2 linked regions of the Caenorhabditis elegans genome follow. The protein of the gene in region 1 purifies or fractionates together with the protein of each later gene. This does not show direct contact. Each region holds a gene or a part of one and is shown in the gene's direction. Other genes may lie near its edges.

The links.
Region 2: the proteins of C30A5.10 (region 1) and T25D10.1 fractionate together in Caenorhabditis elegans (co-fractionation; one large-scale study listed by BioGRID). This does not show direct contact.

Annotation. Positions count from the first base shown.
Region 1 is NC_003281.10:8,207,752-8,211,682, reverse strand, and holds the start of C30A5.10 (uncharacterized protein), read left to right. Parts: upstream 1-1,814; 5' UTR 1,815-1,836; coding exon 1,837-2,351; intron 2,352-2,425; coding exon 2,426-2,573; intron 2,574-2,847; coding exon 2,848-2,919; intron 2,920-2,966; coding exon 2,967-3,209; intron 3,210-3,289; coding exon 3,290-3,405; intron 3,406-3,456; coding exon 3,457-3,564; intron 3,565-3,708; coding exon 3,709-3,796; intron 3,797-3,846; coding exon 3,847-3,931.
Region 2 is NC_003280.10:6,401,648-6,405,578, forward strand, and holds T25D10.1 (uncharacterized protein), read left to right. Parts: upstream 1-1,753; 5' UTR 1,754-2,043; coding exon 2,044-2,212; intron 2,213-2,257; coding exon 2,258-2,424; intron 2,425-2,495; coding exon 2,496-2,595; intron 2,596-2,641; coding exon 2,642-2,771; intron 2,772-2,819; coding exon 2,820-2,893; intron 2,894-2,937; coding exon 2,938-3,044; intron 3,045-3,094; coding exon 3,095-3,331; 3' UTR 3,332-3,393; downstream 3,394-3,931. Other genes in the region: btb-2 (BTB domain-containing protein), read left to right, coding at 358-452, 500-842, 892-1,042, 1,084-1,361; spp-11 (Saposin B-type domain-containing protein), read right to left, coding at 3,793-3,931.

The DNA of each region.
Region 1 (3,931 bases):
CTCTTTAATTTACATACTATTTTGATGGTCCAGGAAGAGAGGAAGACAGGATGGTGTGCAAAATACATCGGATATTTGAAGCTTCAGGGCTCGGCTCTCGGCTACCTACCGGGGGATTTGGATTGTTAAAGCAAATTGTCGAAAGGATTTTATTCATCAAAAGGTTTAATGATTTTTTCCGACGATTCAAAATGAAATTTTTAGAAATAAGTACTGAACATTCAATTGGAATTATTCAAGAAGGGAGAAAAAAGGAGAAAAATAGCGGGCCGAGTCAAAAATTATATGAAATTTTCATAGGCCAATTAATAATTGAAGAAGAAACGAATAGAGTGTTCTTTTGGAACAAAAATGTGAATAAATTACTTGTTTTTCAAAAGTTATAAGTTTCAAGTGTGTTGATTTTATAATTTTAAGTTATACTTCTAACATAAATTAGTTACCTGTCTGCCTGCCTGCCGCCTACTTGTGGGTTCTGGCACAAAAGTCGGCGATTGATGCTTGCATAGTGTAGAGTTACGCATTACTTTTTTTAAAATTATATTTCTTTGCTAGTTCAACGAAATGCACAAAATCAAATTTATTTGAAAATTTAAATGTTTTAAAATTTTAAATTGCGTGATAAATATGCCGATCTTTCACCCTTTTCATCTTTACAACACAAATAATAACCGGAATTCATAGTATTTGAAAAATAGAAAAATTCAAAAATGTACATATGTTCCAGGATAATCCAAAAAGATTGCAAGCTCCCGAAAAAAGAAACAACTTTTGTGTGAAAAGAAGAAAAAACAAACAATGAAGCGGAGAAAAAAGTTGTAGGTGCTCCGAGAGCAATCCCGTAAAAAAATAAAACAATGAAGTCGATGAGCGGAGGTCGATTAATTGATTCAGGCGTATTATTTATATATTTGTTCTCACAAATAAACGCATTAGACGGAAAAATATTAAAGTTTAAATGTGAATAAAAGTATTTTCCCTGGTGTTCCAGGTGGGTTGGAAGCTTTAAACAAAATAATACTGTTGAATATTTGCCTACGTCTGTCCAAAACTGTATTCAGACAGGAAAAGAAACATTTAGTCTAACTATTTAGATAATTTATAATATGAAAACTTTATTGGGATTTTCTATTTTCTTTGTTTGAATAAATATCCTTAAAATTCCAGAATCACTAGAGTAGACCCCTTGAAGTAGAAAATTCAAAAAACATAAAATTAATCTCGATTTTATGACGTTCTGTGTAGTTGTATTGCGGTATATTCAAGAAATTGTTTATCTTTTCAAAAAAAAGAAGAGAACATTTTTTAACAAGTCAAATACGAATTTTTTCTGTAATTGTGTGAAGTATTAAATACAATAAACTCAAGCATAATTAAAATATTTGAAAAACTACTTTTTTGACCGACTTCCAAAGTTATGTGGTGCAACTGAAAAGCTCCCAATTTTAACGGAAAATTTGAAAAAAATAAAAAATTTTGTGAAATGATTTACAATGATATTTAGTCATTTTAGCACTCCTATAATTTTTTAAATCAAGTTCCCAGCATTTTTTGTCTTCTTTATGTTTTTAACCTTTTTCTTGTCTCTGTCGCCATGTGCATTGTTTTGAATTTTGAGAAGGTTTTGCCGGTGGCGACCTGCTTGTTAACCCGCCTAATCTGACGAGAAGCAGCGACTCCTCGCAAACACAAAAGTGACCAAACAGGCGACTCCTCCTTTCCGTTCCCCCGCTAAGCATTGTTTTGAATTCATCCCCTTTTTTCCCGAATAGTCTCCAATTTCGTTGTGCACTTCTTTTCTTGATTCTTAAAGTTTTGTCTGTTGTCCTGAACAGGATGATCAGATTGGTATTCTTATTTCTACTAGTTGTGTTATCTGTGGAATTATTGGATTTTCGTTCAAATAACTATCGTCAAATTATCAATAATGCTCTTCCAACAATTGATCCACAAATGATTAGTCAAGCTCAAGCTGCAATTAATCCTTACACTGACATTTTTGTGAATCCCCCAAATAGTTTTGTCGACTTTCCAATGGCTAACATTGCGTCATCAGGTGCATTTTGGCAGCAACCACAATCTACAGTATCTCAAGTAGCATGGAATCCACCAGTTTCTACAAATCCATCATCAAGTCCAGCAGCGAGCACAATATCATTTCAAAGTTATCAGAATCCAAGTACATTTCCATCAACTACTACTGCTTCAACAACTACCTCAACTACAACTATGCCACCAACTTATCAAACTACAACAAAATCTGTCAAAAAGAACACAGAAACATTATGGACAACATCGAAGTCTCCAATGAAGTTGTCGAAGAATCCAAAACCATCGAAATTGAATCAAAAGTTAGTTAAATTTTAAGTAATATTTTAGAACACGTTTTCTCATTGAATATTTTTCTAATACATAGTACTTTCAGATCCTCAAAGTCATCAGCAACTTCTTTTGACTCCGCCCAGTTATCAGTGTTATCTCATCGACTTTTAAATGATGTTTTGATTATTCCATCTTCTCGACGACTTTATATTCTTGCAATTATTCCAATTCATCAATCTTCTGGGCAACAGGTTTTTCCCTTTTTTAATTAAAATCTTGGTTAAATCTTGGTAATCTTGGTAGTTTGAGTTTGCATTTTAAATCACTCTAAAAATTTTTACAATATTCAGAATTATCACAAAATATGCAGATAAATTTACACATGTGATACCAAAAATTCCAATTTTCACAGAATTTGTGTTTGATAAAAGTATTAATTTCAAAACGTTTTATTGAAACCTCCTTTTCTGTAGATATTAAAATTTTGAATTTCTTTACACTTTAATAATTAATAAACGAGTTCAGAACTTTGAATGCGGAGAAATCGATGTGAACGCAATTGTCAGAATGGCTGCATTTTTGGAAGCACAAAAAACTGTAAACAACCGAAATTATGAGTTTATAAAAACACGAAAAACTTACAGATAAACGAATCAAATCTTCTTAAAGAAATTGGTGTAGATATTGGAGCAATTATTGTTGATTCATGTTCAACGGATCTTCGTTCAGTTGCTGATCTTTATGAACTTTTATCGGGGACAAATATTCAAAAAAGTGATCTTATTGCAATTATTCGAGATGATTCAACATTTATGCCAAATACTGAACAGATTATAAGACAGCTCAATTTACCAGTTGTCAACACATTTTTCACAACGAGATCGGCGGTGGGTTATTCTTTTAAAGAGGAAGTTGTACTGAGAACGTTCGAAAAGAACAATTATTTCTATCAAAAAGTTGTTTCTAGGTGCAAACATCTGGAACTTTGCCATCAATGTTTCTCCCAATTCAATCAATTATATCAGCACTTCGTCATTACCAGAGTACTTGTGTTAACATTATTTTTGATGAAAAATATTCAGAGTAAGTTTGTTACTTTGTACATACTTTTGAAAAAAGTTATCTGCGTTTCAGATCCGTAAGTGAGTTCCAGCAAGTTGCTCTAACAGAAGGAATATGCGTAGAAGTCGCGATTCATGTGAAGAATGCAAGCAGTACGGTTTCAGAAATGGTGGTTAGAAGGTATGAAAATTAATTTCTAATCGTGAAAAAACTATGGCCATAATGGGACTCAAACTGAATGTTTTAAAATAAAGTTTAATGATTCTTTTTCTTGACTTGTTCAAGGCGTAGTTTACCATCCCTCTTCATATCCTGTTTTTTAAGATTACTACTATCAGAAGCTAGAATTGTAGTGGCTCTTTTATCAGAAGACACGTGGATTCAGATGACTAAAGCGCTACGCTCGGAGATGGTAAAAAGATTTCCAATTGAACACAACATGTTATTTCTAAAAACTTAAAGGTTATCGCCGGCCGTTTTGTATTTATTTCAATGCAAGATCAACGATGGACTACATCAAGGAAGTTCATTGAAAGTTGGCCGACTT
Region 2 (3,931 bases), on another chromosome or scaffold:
TATTCAAAGTTAATCTGTTGTTCTACCTCTGCGGTTCCCGTGAAGTCCCATCGAGATATGATTTTTCAAGCGGATTCTTGTCGCTAATAGTTTTTAAAGCTTGATGATCAACTTCCACGAATATGCGAGACACTTATTAACAAATTTTCACTTATTACTGTAAACTAAACATTTCAAAATTAATAAAAAAAATTTAATTACAGGCCATAATAGCGTGACACTCGTTCTGCGTACATCTGGCTTTATTTCCACGTGTCCCACGAGTTTTTCTTCCTCTTCAGTTTTTGATCAGTGCTAATTGTTTTCGTTAGAATTTGAAAACTTCGAAACTTCGAAACGAAACTACTTCGAAAAAAAATGAAGATAAAATGTGTTGAAGTCAACAGCGACAAATATTCGATTAAATCAGTGCTTGGAAAATTCTGTGATACAAACTGTGGAGGAATCAATGTGTGAGTTTCAAGATTTTTCCACTTCGGCTAATACAATACTTTTTCAGCTCATTGTTTGTCTCAGAAACTACTTCGAATAAGTATAGATTTGAATGGGAATTAAAATGGGACGAATTGAAGAAGAAAGGGGTCAAGCATTTGTTTGGAACAATCACCCCGGAAACCAACGACAAGTTGGTTCCAAGCATTGATTTTTCTGTTGATGAAAAACGCAGCACATCTAATTTGGAAACTTCTAAAGACTGGTTGTACAACATTCCTTTCAAGTACAAAATTTTCTACAAAGAATCCGATTATTCTGGATTAACTTTGGAAGAACTTTTCAAGCCATCTGAAAGGAATGATGCCGTTTTAGTGATCGGAGGTACAAAGATGCATGTCAATAAAGCTGTAAGATGTTTTTTTGCAGTTGCAGTGTCCTATATTTATAATTTTCCAGTTGCTGAGCTTCCATTCTGAATATTTTCGAGCTCTGTTCTCCTCGAATTTCAAAGAAGGAAAGTTGACTGAAATCCCAATGTATGAAGTTTCATATGAAGATTTCTCGAGAATGCTGGCAGTTTTGTATGGAAATGAAGCTTTATTGAAAGGTGATCCAATCCTTCAAACTAATATGAATTCATTATTTCAGATGATAATTTGGAAAAGATGTTGGAGCTGGCCGATCAATTTCAGGTGCCACGTGTAACGGCTCATATCGAGACTCATTTGTGCCACTTTTCGAAAATGAAGCAGGATCAATTGATGCGTTTGGCAGACAAATTCAATTTGCGTACAATCATCGAAAAGATTATCAGTGAAGTGGACACTACTCAAAAAATGAAGAACCTCAAGAACTCGGCAGTGTTCTGGAATTTATCAGATGAAACGAAGGTGCTCTTCCTGTATCGTCTCATGCAATTGATCTAAAGGATGGTATAGATTGAAGTTTTTTTATTGTATAATTTATGTATTTATTGTATTTTCGTGGTATAATTATGGAAGAATAAATGCATCGCATTTGAAAGTTTTTTTATACAGATTATCTCTTATTCAAAAAAGTTACATTTAACTAGTAAAATCTAGCCAGAAATTTAAGATCGTGTAGAACTCAGAAGATATCCGAAATCAGATGGCAGTGCTGAATACTGCTCATAACTATTTTTGTTACCTTTTTTTAAACATTGGTAAATATTGGCTTGGCTTAAAGTATGGCTTATGACGTGAACCAACATTGAAAATGGACGAATATTCTGGAAATTGAGTTTTTTTAGATAATAAAAAACGCTGTAACTATATATAAATAAATGTAATGTTTGTTTAAAACACCTTTTCTTCCAGTGCTACACCCTTTTATTGATCTTTTGTGTCAATATAAGTAGACTCTTATCACTTTGAACTTGTTCACTGACATTCTATTCACCATGACAGTCAATTCTTTATTCAACAATTTTACTTTTTTTTAAATATTAAACTTGCATTATTATTTTTGAAGTGAGTTAGTGAACGAAAACAAACAAAGACCCTCCACGGGTACTCACTATCAGTACTACTCACGTATTTGGATATTTTTTGCGGGGATTTGGAAAGCCATTTGCAGTTCCAACCAACTATGTTCTTAAGAAGACGTAATTTAAATTCATCAAGAATCATATGCATCATATCAATTATCGTGCTTCTTCTTATAATCATTTCACTATATCCTCATAAGCGGACACAATTTGGAAGATATTCTCGAAGACAGAAGACCATTCGATTTCAGCATAGTACTGGAGAAATAGGCAAGTAATCTTTTAAATCATACTTTAAAATAAATTTCCATTTAGGCGATCAATTATTCTCTCTACTTTCTCATCTTGGTGTTGCAAAAACTCTTTATCGAATTCCAGTTATCAATTCTGCTAATAATTCAAAATTAATCGATACTCTTTCAAACGCAATGTTTACAAGATTTCCATCGATTCTGCAACAATTTTTAATTGCTATTGAACCAGTAAGTGCATTTTTATAAAAATTTTCACAATTAAATGTATTATTTCAAATGATGATAAATTTGATTTTTAGCCAACAGCAGTGAATAGAGAACTTGGAATCGAGAATAGTTCGTACGAAGATCCTCTTACAAAGTTCTCAGAGGACACATCTTCAAGTCTGATGGTCAAAGGTTTGAGTGATCAATATAGTTTGGAAGTCTATTGTTTTTTATTCAGGGAACGGATTCAAAAGTTTTAAATATTTTGATAATTTGCGTTCTGACATTCGCTTGTGGGTATTGGAAGACGCCGAAAGTGTTCTAGAAGCACAAAATTTGATTACAAAATCTCAACGGAACAACTTCAAGTAAGCATTTTGATCATTTTAAAATTTATTTTTATTTATTTATTTCAGAATTTGTGTGCATGCAACATTAGAAAGCAATAAGAACTGCAGTGTTAAAGCAATTGCACAAATTCTGAATCATTGTAAATTAATTGAAACTTGACCATTTTTAGCCGTTCGTTTTCAGATACCAATGAATATGAGGATGTTATGTTGATAATTGCTAGCCCGTTTCCGGAATTTACTCGTTTCATTTTTACGAACTCGAGAATCAGAAAATACAAAACTGAAAAAGTGAGTTTAGTAAGTACAAACTTTCTTAATAATTTGTTATCATTTTTCAGTTTTCATTGATCAGTTCTTCACCAGAAATGCAAATTATTTTTTCAAGAATCTATTGTGATGTTGTATTCTTGACAGTTCCATATTCAACACATGGATGGTGGATGGGATATTTGGCAAAAGATGACAATAGCCACGTGTTCTATTTTGATCCAGACATGTTCCCGAAAAATAGAACGGCGAACCAAGAAGACTATTTCCCGCCAAAATGGAAGAAATTGTCAAGAAAAATTCAATGATCTCGATTTATCTTGTACAATAACTAACTTTTGTTTTGAATAAATAATTCATTAAGGCTGTGTATATGCAGTTTTCAGGAAAAAAAAACTGTTCAACGTCGATCACATTTTACTCACAGCTTTTGAGCCAAAAATTGAAATTAAATTTCCACCCAGAAGAAGACAGCGTCAGAGCCAAAAGAACAACCAAAAATCGGCAATTTAATTTGCCTGTATACAAAAACACGGATGTTTTTAATGTTTTAAGTCAGCTGAGTTCATAATAAACTTGATAACAAACGTGTCTTAAACTTCATCAATTGATTGTGCAAGTTTATAGAAAAAGATATATGTATCTTGAAAACCAAAAAACACGTGCAGGGTAACTAGACTTCAATTTTTGGAAATATAAAAATATACTACTAATATGTTTGTATTAAAATAATTTTATGAGAAACAAGTTGATAATTGACAGAAAACAATTATTTACAGAAAGGTACGTGCTTACAAAATGAAACTGGTTCAAGATTCTTCTTAAGTCCATCGAATCCCTTGAAAATTGTGTCCATAATATTTCCTTTGAACATAACACACATGGTCCCAACTGTGAGAGTTTTCGGA